Linked DNA regions of Styela clava. The protein of the gene in region 1 purifies or fractionates together with the protein of each later gene. This does not show direct contact. Links are inferred from orthologs where the notes say so. Each region holds a gene or a part of one and is shown in the gene's direction. Other genes may lie near its edges. The genes, in order: cleavage and polyadenylation specificity factor subunit 1-like and uncharacterized protein LOC120328595.

Region 1 (10,842 bases):
AGTGGGTAAATCAATGACATGGGAAATTCTGAAATTACACAAAGGTACAATGCAGACAACATCTTACCACTTTAGCAGCTCTTTCCTGAGATTCACATTTTCTGCAAAACCAAGGCCCTGATGGTACCTTGACAATGCCATAGCAAGCTGAAACAAAATATCAAAATTTATTACTGTATAATCAAAGCAGATTTCTATTATACACACCCATATGGACATTTATCGACTCCCAATTTATTCTAGACATTCCCAGCAGTACATAAGTTGCCAGCATACAACATGAAATTTAATTATTTTTATATCAAAAATCGAATAAATTATCAAATGCATTTACCTTGATGAACCGCCACATTGCATGATTGTCCATCACAGTAAACTAGTGGATTTTCAGCCCAACCTCTTTCATCCAAACACACACAACAACCCCCTAGCATTGGTTTTTCCGCCATTCAAATTTGATTAATTACAATGCCCTTATTGCAATTTTAATGAACTAAATACAGAAATACAAAATGATGAAATGGGGTTTGTTAAAACCTATGAAGAAGCCACCTATTTCAACATCTCCAATATGACTTTTATGCTATCACCACTACCTGACTACAGAACCTATGAGTACAGAGTGGTCTCCATTTCAAACACCAGTCAGCCTGTAGGTAAGTTTATTAATTATTATTACTTTTTTTAATACTGAAATAAATTATCTCATTACAAAATTACAGACTGAGGTAGTTTAGGACTTAATTGAATGAACATGCAGACATGTACAACTTCTTCTGTTCTTTGGCAAAACCTTCTAACTTAAATTCGGTTTGCTATAAACCTTACTAAGGCTTTGTTTGCTCTTCTGAATCTATAATCCAGTAATCAGTTTTTATCAACTCATTTATCAGTTTATCGTCTGCCATGCTGATGGAGTCAAAATAAATTTATACCAGTACCGGTATACATTTAGGCAACTAGGAATTTAGCATTTGTAGAAGATAGTATAAGACAGCGATTCCCATCCAGGGGTCCTTTCTGAAAGAAGGCCACAATGGGGTTCCTTTAATTACCGGAACGGACCCTAAATTACCGGAACGGGGTGGAAAACATACATAAACCTACCGGAACGGACCCTTAGATGTCTTGCAAATGTCATTTCATATACTTCCATGCAATTTTTATATTAAATCGGCAAACTTGGGGGGGTACAGTGGTAAATTTAATTTTCTTTAATTACCGGAACGGACCCTAATTTGCCGGAACTGAGTGGAAAACCAACATAAACCTACCGGAACGGACCTTTAGATGTCTTGCAAATGTCATTCCATATACTTCCTTGCAATTTTTATAATAAATCGGCAAACTTGGGGGGGACAGTGGTAAAATTAATTTTCTTTAATTACCGGAACGGACCCTAATTTGCCGGAACGGAGTGGAAAACCTACATAAACCTACCAGAACGGACTTATAAATATCTTGCGAAGGACATTTTATGTCCCTCCAAGCGATTTCCCAAATAAAATGGGAAAATTGAGGGGGATAGAATAATAGAAAATAACAATTTCATTTTACGCCACCTAGCGGATGTAAATTGAGCAATGAATTCCTGAATCATCTCTTATCAATATGAATTGATGATAAAAATTGATAATCAAAACCTTCTTACATGTTATTAGTCTTTAATTTTCCTTGTAGATAAGATAACGTAGTCATAGATTCAGATTGAAACAAATAAAAATTGTTTCCACAAACATTCTTGTGTAGGTATTGTAACTATGTAGCACAATATGAATATCCACCTAAATCTGTCATTATTAGAGATGATGTTGTTATTTAAGTTCGTGTCACCCGTAAGACTGCTGTTCCGGCACTGTAATCTACCTTGATAGATTGCATATTGCTTCGTGTCCATATATTTGAGCATCGTCCTCTTGTTTACCTACATACATACAAATCTGATCATCTAAAATGACTCCTTCAAAATTTACTAATATGCTATTGACTTAGCTGCAGATTGTTAATTTCCCCACTAGGTCTCGAAATTTATACGCAAAATATAAAACGTGCTTTCTTATAATTTTTCACCAACTTAAACGTAGGAACTCATGCTCAAATTCGTTCTGCCAGTGGAGGTTTTTGCCACAATCGTCCGAAAATTCGCTTCGGTATCCATTCCTACGATTCTCTGCATTTTTGGTGTTTGTGATGAGAAAATATACATTTTCTTTGCTACCAGTTGGAATTTCAGGTAACACCGTGCCTGGTTCACAACGGCCAAAAATTTGAATAATATGTTCCAAGCTTAGGAATTTTCCGTTTGGCAGAGGAACGCCTCGATTATTGGATACTCTGCATGTATCGGATATAGAATGAGGCATGTCAGGAGTTACAACACCTACAGTTGCAGAGTCATTTGCTGCATCAACATGTTCATCTTTGCTGATCGACTCGTCTGATATTAATTTGTCATCATTACAAAATGTTTCCGAGTCCGATAGTATACTAGGGGAATCCGGAATTAAAATCGTATCGTATTTTTGAAGTGGTACTTCGAGGAGAGGTACAAAATGATTTGTTCTAAAATCTTTGGCTGTTGGAGGAATCGTCATTTGGGTCCACAGTATTGTCGTTTTCGATTGTTGCGTGGCTCTGACGTCACGGCCACAAATTTTCCTTGTGAAAGGCTGGCTTAGGAAAACGTTGGCGCTGGTTTGAGGGTAATAAGATTGAATCGAAGCTTTGATAACTGAACTCAAGCCATACATGTGCATCATTTCTGAAAAACATCCATCCGTTCGAGCTGAATGTATCAAATCCGAGTATTTTGATGTCACAACCCGATCATCATCAATCGGGTTTTTGAAAGCAGGAAATTCTATGTCGTAAAATTCTTGATGTTCCATAATTTCAATTGCTGTCAAGAGGCGTAAATGTTTGTGATAGTCTTGTGTTCCATATAACGAGACGGATACTGCCCTGTACAAGCAGTTTCCATCGCCTTCTACGTACATTGAGTAAAACAGTCCAGCATGATTGAATGAAACTTTTGCAAAATATTCTTAGACACTGAACATTCTCTTATATGATTCTCAGATTGTGGTGCTTCTAAGGGTATAACTTGATGATTGTCTAACAAACATTGCAACGATTTGGTCAAGTAAGGGCGACCTGCTAACATCCGTAACGCCATGTCGTAATCGAACTTTTGATTCGGGCACAAGCACCTTGCACATAAAAAGTGCATGTCTTTCTTGCTCCATACTTCCATGACTTTTGGTTGTTCTCCAAGACAGGAAGCATGTGTCCAGGTCTCACACATTTCACATTCAATGCACTCGTCAATACATTCAATGGAACAGGTGGCACATGGGTATCTTATTGCACTAGACATAGCGTAGTAGGCTGTCTTTTGACGTTTGCGTTGAATATCTGAACCAGAAAATGGAACTCTTAGTTAAAAGTAATAAAGGTATTTTTGATATCGACTAGTACAATTAAAAATTATCATTCTGACTCATTCATATATTATATACATTCAAGATCTTAGCGTTTTGCAACAAAGACACTTTTAAAATATGGACACCATTTCCTCATTCGAAGTAAACTTCAATAAATATATTAATCCTTATATAAAATACAAGTTGTACATACCGATAAAATCGTCGAACTGGCTTGGTATTCTATCCTTGGCAGGTTGATGGAGAAGATATAAAAACTAGGAGTACAATTACAAGAATCGTAAATAATCTGCTTTAAATTCGTGATTCGAAATGGCACATAGGTCGCTTTTCTGTCGCAAAGAAATCTCCGGCCATGACGAACAGCCCAGCGCCAGTCCTGCTGCATTTCAACTTTGGAGGCTCGAAGCTGTGTTATCAGTAGACAAATCAGTAGGAGCACTTTGAACCGTCCTCGCTATAAAGGCTATAGCGACAATCGTTTTCAACTCGTGGTCAACTCTCGCATTTTCCTATGCTGAAATTTTAAATTCAAGTATTTTGAGAAGTCATTTTAGAGGATCAGATTTGTATGTATGTAGGTAAACAAGAGGACGATGCTCAAATATATGGACACGAAGCAATATGCAATCTATCAAGGTAGATTACAGTGCCCGAACAGCAGTCTTACGGGTGACACGAACTTAAATAACAACATCATCTCTATGAATGACAGATTTAGGTGGATATTCATATTGTGCTACATAGTTACAATACCTGCACAAGAATGTTTGTGGAAACAATTTTTATTTGTTTCAATCTGAATCTATGACTACGTTATCTTATCTACAAGGAAAATTAAAGACTAATAACATGTAAGAAGGTTTTGATTATCAATTTTTATCATCAATTCATATTGATAAGAGATGATTCAGGAATTCATTGCTCAATTTACATCCGCTAGGTGGCGTAAAATGAAATTGTTATTTTCTATCATTCTATCCTCCTCAATTTTCCCATTTTACTTGGGAAATCGCTTGGAGGGACATAAAATGTCCTTCGCAAGATATTTACAAGTCCGTTCTGGTAGGTTTATGTAGGTTTTCCACTCCGTTCCGGCAAATTAGGGTCCGTTCCGGTAATTAAAGAAAATTAATTTTACCACTGTCCCCCCCAAGTTTGCCGATTTATTATAAAAATTGCAAGGAAGTATATGGAATGACATTTGCAAGACATCTAAAGGGCCGTTCCGGTAGGTTTATGTTGGTTTTCCACTCCGTTCCGGCAAATTAGGGTCCGTTCCGGTAATTAAGAAAAATCAAATTTACCACTGTACCCCCCCAAGTTTGCCGATTTAATATAAAAATTGCATGGAAGTATATGAAATGACATTTGCAAGACATCTAAAGGTCCGTTCCGGTAGGTTTATGTATGTTTTCCACCCCGTTCCGGTCCGTTCCGGTAATTTAGGGTCCGTTCCGGTAATTAAAGGAACCGGCCACAATGCTGTGTGCAAAACTGATCTTACTTGACAAGAACCCCTAAATGCTCGTTCTTCCTAGTTTCATTGCTTGATAAGGTTATTTTATTTAACAGGGTTTTTCACTTTGTTGAGCATGATTAACATTCATGAACGCATTTAGCCTAATTTTGAACATTTTTGCAATAGTTAAAAAATATGTAAAAGGTATATACTAGGTGACATAAATATTAACCCATGCCACAATTCCACTGATAACACACACAATGAGAATAATTAGTTCCATTTTTTTTACTTTATAAGTATAAGTTTATTTCGACTTCATACTGCCATAAACGATAGACGATAGCAATAGACGAAAAAATAATTGATAAAAACAAAATACGTTACCGGTATCCCATAATCGATTCATACCAAAACGTGATATGAGGAACTTCAGAACTTCGATGCCACTAACTTTGCTCAACTGTTCCACCAACCTAATGTTGATCAAAATTTAAATTTTCACTTCAAATAATTTGTCTGTTAAAGTCCCAAATCTACAGATCTATGTAGACTAATAGCCTAAACATCTGAACATGCACCACTATACGGCGTAAACCAGTAACCACAACGCAACTACAGAACTAGAAAGGAAACCCTGGGTCACACTGGCATTTTGCAATCAACCAAAGTAAGAGACAGATTGGACAAAACTCAGTTTATTAATGATCCCAAAGAACAAAAACTTTAGTCTACTACAAGCTGACAAAAATCAGAAAGGTACCCTACCACAAATTGCAATTATTACGTCATTGTTAACTTAGTGCTGATTGGTCATTGTTAGGGCAATAAACAATGGAAATCAATGTCCGGGGAACATCCATATAGATGAAATTCCGGGGTCGGAGGTCGGAAAAACAATCCAGACCGACTTCTCTCATATTTTCTGAATTTTCGCGGTTCGCTAGCAAACTTTGAATTTCTGAAATTGTTTGTCCTTTCATCTAATTGTTCATAGATTTTTTCTTCAGCTGCAAATCCTGAAATCGACGTTTCTGATAGCATAGTAGGGTTTTGGTGTACTGCTAGTAGACTACAGCGTGATGTATGCGTGGTACAGACAACTCCATCCTCCAACAGGGATAGAAAACTGCTTGCATTGTAATTTCACTTCAGAGAAATACGAGGACTTAGTTGTTTCTGCTGCTTCACAATTAACTATTTACAGATTGAGGAAAAAGTTAGAAGTAAGTATATATTGCAGTTAGATCCTCTATTTTAGGCATCTTCATCCTATTTCTCTAGGCTACTTGACGAAATACAGAAATACTGCAAAAATGAACATTTGATATTTACATCACTGTATTTGACAAAATGCAGAAATGTTATCATATTTTCATTATCCTTTACGAAGTTTACCTTGTATCACCATAATTTGAGTCAGAATATTTGGCTTATTTCTGAATTTGCTGATTTGGTAGTGAACCAGCAGTAAAATTAAATTTAATTAATTTGACTAAATTCACATTTTATTTTTCCAGATCGTCACCAAAGATGAGAAAGGTATATTCATACAAGTTGGGATTGTTTTGTAATTATTTCCACTGCCTTTACCTGAGTAATAATATTAGAATATCTAATGTTACAATTACAATGCTGCAATGCCTGTACCTTTTAATTTTCTGCCTCTTTATTGTAAACCTTTTGCTTTTTAATGAATCTTAAAAAATTTCATCCTAGTCCATCCAATAATTTCTAAAAACATTTTAACAAATCGATGTCATAGCTGTCAATAAAATTATCAGAAAACAAACAATATCTGAATATTTTTTTTTTCCTCCCTTTTTCGGGAAGGCAGGAAGGGGGGGATATATTGGCTCAACAGAAAATCTATTTAACAGAATTTGCATTAGGTGGGCAATAATATAAAGAAGTGATTATGTCTGTATGTGATTGCTTGAATTTGTAACTTCATAAGTGACTTAATAAATTTTAGTTTTCCATTGCTTGACTGGACCAATATTAAAATGTCCATTTTCTTGTCGAAATCAATACATTTTTAAATACTTTTACAAACGGGGTGTATAATATTCATTTGACTATTTATATCATCTATTATTACATCTTTGATCTTGATTCCTCCAGTTGTCCATTTCGAAAAATGTCGTTACTAACTTTCACATCATATGTCGTTAATATCTATACAGAAAAAGTACGTAAAGATAAATTGGAGCAAATTGGAACATGGCAGCTACATGGAAATATTCAGTCAATGAAAAAAGTCCGATTTGCAGGATGTGCGAAAGATTCAATTCTGCTCAGCTTCAAGTATGCTAAGGTGTGTTGAACTCATTCATTTTTTCATTTTGTATTTGAATTATATAAAATATACAGGCTGTGTCAAAGTTTTAAAACTATCTTGAGCCTGTACAAGAACATGCCAAAAACTATTAAATTGTTATAATTTTCATAAGTCATGGTAAATACAAGTCGAACTTATATTTTTTGTTTATTTTTAAACTGGCGTACTGTTTTTTTTTTAAATATTTGCTATTGTGAAGTGTGAAAATTTCTTATTCAGCTTTCTGTTATTGAATTTGATGAATCAACATTTGAAATTAAAACTTCTTCACTTCATTATTTTGAAGAAGATTTGTCTGAGGTAAGTATGTATTTACAGATTTCCTAGAAAATTCTGTGTCTGTTTAACTTTTTATTTGATGTACCGTTTGATATTCGTATGTATAAGGATGCCATGCTCAATATCTTGATAATAATTTAACCATTTAATACAATAGGATTCTTCATACCATTTCTTATATTTTGAAGTTTCAAACATTGCAAATCTTCTTTCTTCATTTCATTGGTGCAATGGCCTGACTGTTTTGACATCACAGATTAAGGATTTAGGTTTGAAACCCCTGGCTCTGACATCATTTCGATTATTTAAAGTAATCCAACATATCATTTTAGAACGGTTCTGTGAGCAGAAACACCATCCCAAAAATTTGCACTGATCCAGAAAATCGTTGTGCTTGCATGCAACTGACAAGTACTAATATTGCAATACTTCCATTCCGAACCCGTGAAACTGCTGTTGTAACTGATGATTCTGTTGGACTGTCAAATGCAGGGTATGTTTTACTACATTTTTTAGCTAAGTAATCTTAGAATCAAGATGATGTTTTTATAAACAAATTACAAGTTATCAGGTTCTACACAAATCGCCACCATGAAAGTTTTCACTCAAATCAACAATTATTAACAATGGAGGTCGGAGTTGAAGTTTTCCGTATGCAATGTTCAATATAGAGCATTTTCCATAGCTGGAATTTTTTAGTTGAATTTTTTTTAACTCTCGTAAATCTGAAATATCATGGAATATAGAGATTTTTGGCTTGTTTTGGGTTCCTAACTGTCTATAGTTTATCTGCGTATTGCTTCGAATCAACTTCAGTAAATATACTTCATCCAAAGCTTGATTGTGCTCCTATTATATGCTTATAGATTTTTGGTAATACCTTATTTGGGGTTTTTGCATTTTCTATTGATAATATCTTTCAATTGCAACAGAACTCGGGGTCATGTTCTATCAAGTTATGAGATAAATTTGAAGGAAGTTGATCCTCAAGTTCAGATTGTGAAAGATATGAAATTTTTACATGGATATTATGAACCAACGTTGCTGATTTTGTTTGAATCTCTGAGGACATGGGCAGGGTGAGCAATGATATTTTTGGCCAAATTTTTTTATTTCTTTGCATGGATTAAGTTATTATATAGAAAGAGTAACTCCCAGATATTCTAGGTTTTTCCACAGGAGAATATATTTTTGTGCATACTTTTGAAGTGTACACTTCTATTATCATTCTTCCTAGTAGCTAAATCACTAATGAGATTAAAATTATTTTTGGAAATCTCATTATTCTATGTTAGTTTGTTTCATAATCTAATTACTATGAAATCAGGGTAATTTTTACTTACTATTTTCAATAAAGTTAAACACTCTCGAGTGCTCTCACATATCCAATCTTAAATTTTCAATTGTGATGCTTTATTTTTATTTGAGAAATTTTATATTTTGTTTCAGTCGAATCGCTGTTCGTCAAGATACCTGCAATATTATAGCAATATCACTCAATGTGAGTGAAAAATTACATCCAGTTATCTGGTCACTTGGCTCCCTACCATATGATTGTAAATATGTTTATGCAGTTCCAAAGCCTATAGGTAAGTCTTTTTCTAATGGAATTATCCTATCCTGTAGGAATTGGTGCACAATGTTTTAAATAGAAAATTACACTAATTTGGAAAGACTAATGTAGGTAAATTGAGTACAATGAAATTGGGGATAGCATGCATAATTTGACTTGACTTCTTTCACAAACAAGTTTTAATTAATTAATTAAGGTTTGCTATTCATGATATTTCAACCCCAGAAACATATTGAAAATGTGACTGCTGACTCTATTAGTAAATTGTACTTAATACTATATAGCAGTAATTCAATAAACTCTTTTTATATCAAATCATTCAATTGGATTTCAGGAGGAGTTTTAATTTTCGCTGTATCTTCAATGATATATTTAAATCAAAGTTGTCCTCCCCATGGTATGTCACTCAACTCACACACAAAGAACTCAACATCATTTCCATTGAGTGAGTAAATCACAATGAATATACTCTATTATGTAACTGTTTGTCATAGCCAATTTTAAACTGAAGCCGGCTAACTTTATGATTAAAAAACCCTCATTTTAATTAATATTAGCTCATTAGAATGGGCAGTAAAAGTCATCAAATCAATTACTGTAGGGCATGAAATTGGGAGTACACCATGATGAATGACCAATCTGATAAATTTTCATTTTAAATCTCAGAAATCCAAGATGGGCTCGCAATAACGCTTGATCTTAGCAAAGCTGTATTTTTGTCACCGGACAGACTTGTTGTAACTTTGAAAGGAGGAGAATTGTGAGTTGTAGTAATAATCAAATACTTAACCAAATTACATGGCTTGATACAAATGTGTCATCTTTTTTCAGATATGTGATATCCCTTGTAGTAGATAGCATGAGAAGTGTCCGAAGTTTCCATATAGAGAAAGCTGCTGCAAGTGTTTTAACTACTTGTGTAAGTTCATTTTCATCTTATCTTAGGAGTCTTAGTTTGTTTGATACATCTATATATTTGTTTGCCACTGCTCGATAACCCGCTGTAGTTTTCTGCATCTTCCCATTCACTGCAGAAGTGTATGTTTTTTATTCTTACAATGTGGACATGTGGTATGGGTCGTTTTTTACTGACTGGGGAAAATAATCTCCATCATGAGTAATGACTATTTTCATTTTGATTGAATAGTTCATTTATAACATATTTGTGTAAATACATCTATATAGATAACTCTACTTGAAGAAGGATATTTATTTCTTGGATCGAGACTTGGTAATTCTCTGTTACTTCGTTACACTGAAGCAGCAAGGATGGAAATAAGTAGAGAAGAGAAGGTAATTTGAACTATGTCATTATGAAACTTGTTATATTTCATGATTTTAATTGAAAAAATATTCTGTTCAAAAGGCTTTGACAAGTGAACCAGCCTCGAAGCGCAAACGATTGAATACAGCTGCAGATTGGGCTGGTAAGTTCTAATTGATGATTTCGTGGTATGTCAATGTGCTTCAATATTTAAATTTTTATGTCATTCCAGAATGAAACATTCTATAGTCCACCTCATACTTTTTACCAGCCATGACCCACACGATTTATATTTTTGTAAACAATCGAAATTGGTTATATTTGGTGTAGTGAATACTTTTTTTGCAAGAATTTTAAACTTTTGAATGTGATTATCATTCTTCATTCAACTCTATAAAATAGAAAACCAGTCGAAAATTTTTTTTTATTGAATCATTCTGTGTTACCAAATTTAATTTGTATTGGTTAACACTAATTTTT
Region 2 (10,781 bases), on another chromosome or scaffold:
CTAATTTTGTGTATTTCCTTTTATATTGTATTATATCATTGTAATTATTAAAAAAACATTATTATCGTTGGATACTTATTACTGATGAAACAAACTGGAAATACTGTGAAACTCAATTTAACAAATGGATCATGAATGGAATGTGGACTATAATTTATTTTATTTGTTTATTTATTTTTTACATATTTATTGAAATCACTCAATGAGTGAACCAATTAAAAAAAAAAAAAAAAAAAGAGAAAAGTCGCGTGTTTTCAATTTATTCTCGATTCTTTTTCTTTTTGGTAATATTCGTATTAAAAGAACATTATCTTAAATAATACCTAATATGGCGCCGTATTAAAACATTGTCAGACTAGTTAGAAGATAGTGATACTAGTTACTAGATTGAAAATCATTTTCTTTGTACCGTATCTGTTGTAGGTATATGGCCGTATGTTACGGTAATGTTGATAATACAGTGATATCGTATCACTCAAGTGTTTTGCTACCTAGCGTAGGATATTATCTTTGTGTCTTTTAAAAATGTTACTGTACGGTAACGTTTGAGAAATACAATGTCAACTGTTAATATTGTGATATAATATTTTGGTAAATAGGCTATGCTATATAATATAGGTAGTAATAGTATACTGTACCATATGGTAGGTACATAGTCTAATAGGCTACTATCCACAGGTCTGAATTGTTGGGAGGTTGATTTTAAAGGTGCAAAATATTTCATAGACAAATAGTGCAGTGTAATATATGTGGATTCCAAATACTGAAGTATAATCTCAATTAAGTAATATAACATTCTTACGTATGTAAATACATTTGTTCATACATTTAAAAATAGCGAAAGACTTCATTTTAACGTTTATTTTTGATGGGATTCAATGATATTTATGGAATAATTGATTTATGCCAATTTCTGAATTTGTTAATTCAAAAGTTCTCATCGAATTTGAATGGTTCTTTTTACTGTTTTTGGTGGACGGGCACGTACTTGTACGTTTTCAACTTTTTAATTAAGTTATGTTCGTTCCTCCAGGTCTTTTGCATTTTGTTTGTCCGTTTGTTGTTGTTTTAATTCTTCCAGAGTGACCAAATTAAAATTGATTGATACTATATAGTTGATTACTCTTACTATCATTTTATAAAACTATATCAATTCACTGTTACATGCTCTCAGTTTCCCTCTCACAAAAGCAGATAGTGCAAAGGCTACCAATTTGAATTGTGTCATTGAACATGTCGATTATTGAGTGCTTTCTTATGTCTCAGCTTCTGATCTGAATGAATTGGTATTTAATATTCTTACACAGACAGCTGGTAAAACTATGCATCTGTAGGCAATTATAATTATGTGCGGTATAATAGCAATAATAAGTAAGTCTGAAAATGTGCCACAACATATTCTAGATGATATTCTACCTCTCATTAAGCGTCGAGGTCCGGATGCTACTGGGACCAAATCAATAGTTATCGGCAATGGCTTTTATTTACACATGATTTCTACTGTTCTGCATTTACAAGGAAATGTTGCGACTCAACAGCCTTATGTTACTGCAAATGGAGACTTTTTGCAATGGAATGGTGACGTCTTTGGTGGATTAGAAGTAAAGGACGGTTTTTGTGACACAGTCATTCTTGCTAATCGCCTGAGTGAATGCGCAAATGATACTGAAATATGCAAAGTTTTTAGTTCATTGCACGGACCTTATGCCTTCGTATTTTTTCAAAATTCAACAAAAAGATTGTATTTTGGGAGAGATTATTTTGGTCGCCATAGTCTTTTATATCATGAAGGTGACGATGACTTTATATTAGCATCAGTTGCGAAACATTCAACAAACATCAATTCAAATGTGTCATGGAAAGAAATCCAGGCTGATGGAATCTATGTCATCGACACACAATTGCAAAAATGTAATAGGGAGATTAAATGTCATTTTTGGAAATCAATTACAAACTCACACTGCCTCAAAGTAGATGTTATGAAGCAATATGACACTGGTTACACAAATAAAATAATGGAATCAAATGGATCTGCAGAGAATGATCATATTGCAATAGACCTGAACATAGAAACATTCAATTCTTCTTTTGAGAAAGTTGTCAAAAGCCAAATAGTAGATAAAATGTCAGACTTAGATGCTTTGGTTGCTATCTGTGAATCCCAAAATATTTGGCCATTAGTGGATCTTTTTACAGATGTACTCAAAAAGTCGGTACAAAGACGTGTATCAAATCTGCCAAAATATTCAAACTCACATTCATCAATAAGTATTCTTTTTTCTGGTGGAATAGATTGTAGCATTCTAGCTTTGCTGGCTAATGAATATGTTCCCGTTTCGGAACCGATAAATTTACTTAATGTTGCTTTTGAAACACCAAAAAATAAAAATTTTGATGTCCCAGACAGGTGTACTGGTAGGATGTCCTATGAGGAATTATCAAAATTATGCCCAAATAGAGTTTGGAATTTTGTTGAAATAAATATAGGATTAGACGAATTAAGGGAAACTAGAATAAAAAGAATTGCTGATTTAACATATCCATTAACAACTGTTCTTGACGATAGTATTGGTTGTGCTTTATGGTTTGCAGCATATGGTGGGACAATACACCCTGAATGCAAAACAAAAGTAGTTCTATGTGGTATGGGAGCTGATGAACAGCTTGGAGGATATTCCCGTCATCGATCAGCATTCGAAAATCGTGGGTGGGAAGGACTTGGCAATGAAATTATGATGGAACTGGAAAGAATATCATCACGAAACCTTGGTCGTGATAACAGAATTATTGCAGATCATGGAACTGAAGCAAGGTTTCCATATTTAGATGAAAATGTTATATCATTTTTAAATAAAATCCCACTCTCTTCTAAAACCAATTTGATTTATAGAAGAGGGTTAGGAGAAAAACTTCTTCTCAGGGCTACGGCTTATAATCTTGGCCTAAGGAATGTTGCTGTTTTTCCAAAAAGGGCCATCCAGTTTGGATCTCGTATTGCCAAAGCAGAGTGCAATAAAGAAAAGGCTTCTGATATTTGTAGTAGATTATTGTGACAGAAATTGCATGCAATGGCTGCACGATAAGGCAATGTTTCATTTTGTAATATTCAAAGTTTCGCAAATGCTTTATCATTACTTTTTCAAGCAGATATTGGAGACTTGATTTCAGCAGATTATATTTAACTTGATTTTTTCTCAATTTGTTTTCTTAAAAAATAACTTAAACGTGTTTTTTCTGGTTCGACTTTTTACAAATTCATTTCAGTTTTTTGGTAATACAATTTTCATATTAATTTTTTTTGTGCACAGATTCATAGAAGTAATTTAGTAGAAATAACCATTCAAAACCTTGAAATTAACAATTTTATGCTTCAATTCAATGCTCTTGGGCTGTTGTATATTTAGTATCATGGCCATGGGCAACATCAGTGGAAGGCTGATTGAAATAGTGTTATGAAATAAATTGCATTTTGTCTAAGCTCTAATTTATATTATATGTTTTTATTCATGAATCTAGTTTGTTAATTAAATTTTCTAACAAAAAAACTCCCAAGAAAATTGCAACATGAAGCTTACTGATGGAAAAATGGGAAAAGGATTTGGCACTCTTGGAGTGAAGATGACATCACAAATCCAGTATCAGCTGTCACCTTTTGAGCAACCACCTTTGAAAGGTTACTTTCAGAATGGCCTAGTGAACGTTGCAAGGAGAACAAGAGAAAAATTTCTATACTTCACCATTCCGATGGTTATCGGATATATGGTGTATCAGTATGGAGAGACAACAAATGCGAATCTGAAAAGAAAGAATCTTAAAGACTATGAAAATGATGTTTAAACTTATAAAATCGTTCAATTATTCAATACTATGTGTTTGATTTAAAATAGGAAATATAATAAAATATTTTTCAGTTCATAATAACAAGATAAATTTCATTCAACTTCATTTTACAGTGAATTTGTCTGTTCAAAATATTCATGTTTTTGGATTGTCGTGCATTTTTGGTGGTTCAATAATAACTTATTATTATGATAATTGTTTCTTTAGATAATATAATATAGTAAAACATTCAAAATCTAATGAAAGCATCAGTTTGAGTACCATGGCTGAAGCTATGAATCCATTGTGCATTGGAAGATACTGTGGTTATCCACCTGATGATGAATTACCTGATACGTGGCAACTAGACAAGTGTGGTGCTTGTCCATGGGGATATAAAGCAAACGAAACAAAGTATTGTATTCAGTGTGACAAACCTCCTGATATCTATGACTGGCTTTATCTTGGATTTATGGCTGTATTACCTTGTATGCTTCATTGGATTTATATATTAAGAAACCAGAAATCTTTGAAACTAATGGTAGCACAGATACTTTTATCAATTTTCGAATGTGTTTGTGCTTGCTTATTATCACTTATTTCTAGTGAGCCGAAAGGTGATTTACAACTTGTATCTTGTGGTGTAAATCAGTTATCAGACTGGTATACAATGTTTTATAACCCACAGATTGAATATACTCAGACCATTCATTGCTCTCAAGAAGCAGTGTATCCATTAATGACAATAGTTTGTATCTATTATGCATATACACTCATATTGATGCTACTATTCCGACCTTTTATACTATCTTTTATAGCTGCTGCGAAGGAATGGAGTGGCCCCCTTTATGCAGCATTGTATTTTCATCCCATCTTAGTTGTAATTCATGCTTTTATTGGGGGGCTAATTTATTATTCATTTCCCTACATAACACTGCTTGTATCCCTGGTCGCTATAGCAACGTACTTTGTGTGGACCAATGTCACAACTCTTAGTTCATCATTACGACATAAAGTCAAAAATATGTTGATCATTTTATGGCATATGTCGCTTTTAACATTTGGTATTATTGCCATTTCTAATGAAAATTATTATTTTGTGGTACTGGCACCATTCCCACTTATATTTTATTTTTTGACATTACAGTTTACAGATCCCGAAAATATTGATAAAGAAAGGCATCATACATGAAGATCCATACCATTCTAACCTATGGGCCCTTTTTACTATTTGTCTAAAATACCTTATTGCTTCAATCTATTCATAGTTTGTTTCAGTTGGAGGCCATTCATTGGATTAATATTATGTATTCTAGAATTTTTTTTGATTTGTCATTTCCGCAATCCAGAGATATAGTTTTTACCTAAATTTGAATATTTCTCGCAAATAAGCTTACCTTACCTTAATTGCAATGTTCAGGAAATGTTTTCTATGTTTCATTGACACAAACTCTATAAGGAACAAATATTGTTTATTATGGAGCAAGTGACATAAATGTACCTATTGATACCAAGCAAATATATTAGTGTAGATCTACAAGACTAACATTATCTGGAGTCGAAAACATAATGTGACAACATACTGATGAGATTGAAAACAATGTCAGACTATTTGTGCAGTGAATCTCTTATCAGAATAGAATAATATGCCCTTAGTAATGTATTATACATAAGATATGAAACATAAAATATGTAAGAACTTGGATAAAATACTCTTTTCACATTTGCTTCAATTCCATGCTTGCAGGCTTTTATTAATTTTTGATTCAATATTGAAGTTGCGCATGATTCACAATTTTTCTGACAATATTGTATACCGGTATATATTATTTATTGCAACCTCCATTTGTTATGGTCAATTGTTTTCACCTGATGATATCATTTCTTGATTATTTGTTTTTTCTAGGAAACACCTCCATGATATAATAAACTAAATTGTCATCGCAACTAAGATGGCTGATGTAGAAGATGAAGATTCATGGTTGTACGGTGATTCTACTAAAGAAAAATCAGAACCACCTGATTCAGGAAATACAAATGTAAATGAAAAACCATTATCAAAAATTGAAAATGAAGTCCAAGAAAAAATGGATCATGAGCCGGCTCCTGCTTTAGAGGTACCTGTCATTGAAAATGGAAAGGCGCCGGTAATTAAGCTTGACAATCAAGCTCTACCTGCTAAAGAAATTGCCGCTAAAAATGAGGATGACGACGAAGATTCAGATGATGATGTACAAGTTACGATTGGAGAAATCACAACTGGTGGAACACCTGGGAATTTTCCAGCCCAAGGACTGAGTAGAACTTTCTATAGGAATCCAGTTCCTGTACCTACAAAACCTACAGTGACAAAAGGCTTGGATATGCAGGCTCCAGGTGATATCAACGGTACTCCAGTTATGGAGACAAATATAGACTTGCTTGATGACAAACCATGGCGCAAGCCAGGAGCTGACATTTCTGATTATTTCAATTACGGGTTTAATGAAGATACCTGGAAGCAATACTGCGATAAACAAAAGAAATTTCGAGGACAATTAGATAACATGCCTGTTATATCACTGCCTTTACCAAAACCTATCCAGAATGGTACCACAAGTTTGTTTAGCACCCCACCATATGTTCCTTTGGCCAAATTTGAAAATACTGTCAGAAACATATCAACTTTGCAATTTAGTAGAAGGAAAGAAGATGAGCTGTTAGCGGCCTCTGCGGCAGCCGCAGCTGCCACAGCTGTACAAAATCAGTCACAAAATGCCACACCTGTCCCATCGTCAATTCCTCCAAGTTCTGCAACTCAAGTATTTTTGTCTCAGATGAGGCAGCCAATCGCCGGGACTTTGCCCAATGCCCCTTTGCCATTCCCACCCATAAATCCCAATCAACCACCACCAGGTATGCCTATTGGTGTCCCTCCACCGTTTATGATGTCTAATGTTCCTCCGCCTGGAATCCCTCCACCAGGCGTTGGTCCACCGCCAGATTATTTACAATCAGCACCTCCTGGATATCCGCCAGGGTTTCAACCCCCAGTCACACACACTGTGCCCCCTCCTTTATTTGGTCAACAAGATGGTGGCGATCCTTACAATCAATACTCAGAAGATCGGCATAGGAGACCCTCGGATAGTGAAACAGATCGACATAGTGAAGATGATGGCCGATACAGGAGAGAGCGGGGAAGTAGTTCCAGAAGAGATTACGACCGTGATAGATATAGAGATAGAAGGGATTACAGAGATAGCAGACCTCGGGATAGAGATCGTGATCGAGACAGAGATCGTGACCGCGATAGGGAAAGAGATCGTGATCGTGACCGAGAAAAGGATAGAGATCGTGATAAAGACAGAGACCGAGATAAAGATCGTGACCGCGATAGGGGGCATGAAAGAGAGAGCAGCAGTTCAAGAAGATATCGAGACGACAGCCCATCCCGACATAAATCATCGCGCAGAAAGCATGAAGATGATGACAGGCATTCAAGCAAACATAAAAAGGCAAAAAAGCATAAGCACAAAGATAAAGACTCTGATGCTCCTCCTGGAACTGATGAAGTTAATGGCAATGAGGAGGTCGAAAAGTGAACTACTCTGTGAATATTATTGAAAGACCTTATAATTCCGATTGCGGTTATTATGCCAACACTCCGGTTTTACTGAGATAACAACTGATGCATATATTTGAACATGCAGATCAAATATGATGAACATACGGAGACGGTCTCTTTAGAAATTCAATACTTCAGCAACCATATTTTCTGATAATGTTGTTTAATAATCATTTATTGAAAAAATGTCATTGAAACAAAAAAATTTAAATAGGTTTTAATTCATATTTTGTGAATAGTTAGTTATTCATGTGAATGGCTCGAGGATTTTGAGGACTGTTTTTGAAGATTTTGTTCTGGAGTACATTTGAAATTGATCACCCCTCTTAACCTGAGGTAGAGTGGAGATGAGTAGAAATCGCAATTACCATAACGTTATGTGTGTGTGTAATAAATACCATTGTAAAGGGATGAAATAAGACTGGGAGCTCATGAGTACATATGCTGCCACTTACCCAGCTTCCTAACTAGTTACTTTGGTGTACTACACATTGCTACTGTCGAAGGTCCCTACTAATTTTAAATCTCTCCATGCATGCAATATGTAAATTATGGTGCGAAGACATTAATTCATTTATACTTAGTAAGTGGAGTCCAATTTGTGTAATTGCTGAAAAATATGGCATTCGAAAAGGTTTTGAATTGAATTTGAAAACGTTTCAAAATATTAGTGAAAACTATGGACAGAAATGCAATGCCTTTGCCACATTTGTCATTAAATTCCCTATGTTTAATGTATCGCTTGGGTTACCTATTTGCACATTCTCTTGTGAAGAATATTGTACCTGAATAGGTTTAATCAGCTGTAGAAATTCTCTCACGACTGTTTGGTCTTCTCAAGTTCGAAAGCGACAATTTTAAATAATTCTTTCAGGATTCAATCAATTTTGAAAAATACAATATTAAAATATATACTTTAGGATGTCTGTAGAAATGGTCGTTTTGGGAGGTGGTGTGGGTTATATTATGGAGTGGAATTGCTCTCCTGAAAACTTGTCAAGTAAAGTTTATATCTTTTAACCGGTGCCAAAGTTACCGAAGTAAGGTACGCAAGCTGATCATCAAGAAAGCAGCGACGCCCACGGCTGGGATTTCCAAATGAAAGGTAAATGGATCGTGCTCCCTTTATGTACAATTTTCTAATAATATTGGCATACTTGTATAAATCTCATTCAAGAGTTTTGAAGGTGGGGGACACGTGTTAGTCACTCTACCAAATTACCTTAGGCAAGTTATGGCTCCTGCCACGGAAACGCCGCCAAACTATTATCGCTATTTTGAATTAACGGTGCTTGAAATTCAATAGTTATTATACCTCTCCACCAGAACGTAGTTTTATTGGGAGCGGTGCCTTATTATATTTAGTATTGTGTCTCCAAAAAGTTTGGTGATTTTCAACGTGCTACATTGAACATTATCACCACGCGAACGCGGCCCCCTCGCCTAGTGTGAAAACTACATGTAAATTACAAATTAGCTTTTTCGGGACGTGGAGAGAGACAGTTCCAGAAAGGCACGGCGAAACGGCCGTGTGTTCAAAAAGAGATTATCCGACCTTCAAATCGGGGAACAATACAAACATATACATATAAAATGTACAAGTTTCCACATGAAAATATCACAAAGTAATCCGCTACTTAAAAAAAAAGCATTCAGACCGTGGTAATCGTTAGCGTCATGAATAAAAGGTCCAAACGAAATTATCTGGCTGTAGTTCCAAATCTTGCGCAATTCGGCTTTTACAATCCAGCGGCACTATTCTGGAGATTCTTTTCCTTCCCAGTTGTTGAAATTGAAAATAACTGGCTCGGCGGTGTGGCGCATCGTGCTAAGCTTGAGGATTGCGATCGCCAACGCACCTCTGATTATTCCGCATGGGTTTGCAGGTTCGAATCCCACGCGGGGATAGGTATGTGCGAGAAAATTGCTGGACTCCTCGTCGCTGTAAGGTGGTTCACGTAACCTAGTGGTTCTTAACCTTTCCGAGAACCCATGCACTATTCGGCATGCTCCCGCCGAACCCCATCGTACTGAACGGTTCAAATTAGGAGCCCAATCCTAACTTAATAACGGGGAAACTATGTTCGTGCTAGCTAAAAGGAAATGAACATTATGGTTTAACCCTAGATACCAATCAGACATGTGGAAATAGCAATCGTTTTGTCACAATAGTGCCGCGACAGGAAGAGCAGATTTTTTTCTTTTATTAGTTGTGCGAATGAAAAAGCGGAAAACGGATAAAAAAAAATAGCAACTTTGAAAATCCAAAAGATGATAATATGCCTCAAAAACGTTTGTAGTTCAAGTCATTCGGTTCTCAAACTCCAAACTGCATTGAAATGTGGATAAAAGCTTTTGCCAATTATTTTATGATGATAACTTCCAGAAAAGCTCTGCAATTAAGTATTACTTGTCACAAATTGATCACCTAGTAATATTCAAACTCGTTCTGATTTTGCATTCATTTATGTACAATTTACTGCCAATATTCAATTTATCCGTAAAACTTAGTTTATTAATTTTATTAGTACGGTAGATTACGGATATTCAGCTCAAGAATCCTTGCTTGTCAAAACAACCGAAAAGATATTTTAAGGTCATAAGCAGAAAGCACCTAAAAGCGCTATCATAGATTAGATAGGTACAAACTAGAGATGTACCGATACCACTTTTGCCGCCGATACCGATACCAGCTAAAAACGCCGATACCGATACCGATACTACAAAAAAGCCGATATTACCGATATTCCGATACCGATACTATGTAATTATTAACTATTGTAAGGCAGACGGGTTAAAACAATGGTCTTTAAGCGTTGTTCATAGTACACATTGTTTCAGATCGAAAAAAAAGATATATATATCACATAATATGAAATTAATGTTTGGTATCCATATGCTGTAACTGATTAAGATACATTGTACAGTAACGCTAGTAATCTCGGTGTTCAATTAGAAAACTCATAAGCCGGGATGTCCAATTTGAATTTAATGTTAATATCGCGAGCTTCGAATATCGTTGTTCGTGTTTAAAAGAATATCGAATATCACCCACACATTCTAGCGCCGCCGTCCTACGTTCAAATTAAAAGCATTTTACAAATATTTAATTTAGTGGCTAATCGTAATCGTCGACGCAATAAGTCAAAGCCAACATGAAAGAATATCAATCAGCATCGACAAAAAGAAGGCCCACCGATAACCGTTGAGGATGTTTTTTTACTTCACTATTTTATAATATTTTACTATTGCTATCCTATATTTTGAGACAGTCTAGGGCTAGGCGGTCAAGTCAATATATATATTTATGAAGAAATCGTGTAGCTAAGCAGAATTAAAATTAATACCTGTGTAG

The links.
Region 2: the proteins of cleavage and polyadenylation specificity factor subunit 1-like (region 1) and uncharacterized protein LOC120328595 fractionate together in Homo sapiens (co-fractionation; 8 studies listed by BioGRID and IntAct, with this or other methods). This does not show direct contact. The link is inferred for Styela clava from reciprocal best matches to the Homo sapiens genes CPSF1 and FIP1L1.

Annotation. Positions count from the first base shown.
Region 1 is NC_135259.1:8,800,818-8,811,659, reverse strand, and holds the start of cleavage and polyadenylation specificity factor subunit 1-like, read left to right. Parts: upstream 1-5,802; 5' UTR 5,803-5,987; coding exon 5,988-6,131; intron 6,132-6,425; coding exon 6,426-6,447; intron 6,448-7,091; coding exon 7,092-7,222; intron 7,223-7,465; coding exon 7,466-7,546; intron 7,547-7,857; coding exon 7,858-8,018; intron 8,019-8,457; coding exon 8,458-8,604; intron 8,605-8,974; coding exon 8,975-9,114; intron 9,115-9,432; coding exon 9,433-9,543; intron 9,544-9,764; coding exon 9,765-9,858; intron 9,859-9,929; coding exon 9,930-10,017; intron 10,018-10,283; coding exon 10,284-10,391; intron 10,392-10,464; coding exon 10,465-10,525; intron 10,526-10,842. Other genes in the region: uncharacterized protein LOC120337467, read right to left, coding at 68-147, 335-449. UniProt on the Homo sapiens protein: Component of the cleavage and polyadenylation specificity factor (CPSF) complex that plays a key role in pre-mRNA 3'-end formation, recognizing the AAUAAA signal sequence and interacting with poly(A) polymerase and other factors to bring about cleavage and poly(A) addition.
Region 2 is NC_135256.1:13,262,837-13,273,617, forward strand, and holds uncharacterized protein LOC120328595, read left to right. Parts: upstream 1-5,643; 5' UTR 5,644-5,771; coding exon 5,772-7,403; 3' UTR 7,404-7,651; downstream 7,652-10,781. Other genes in the region: asparagine synthetase domain-containing protein 1-like, read left to right, coding at 1,347-3,053; cytochrome b-c1 complex subunit 8-like, read left to right, coding at 3,565-3,837; JNK1/MAPK8-associated membrane protein-like, read left to right, coding at 4,103-5,011.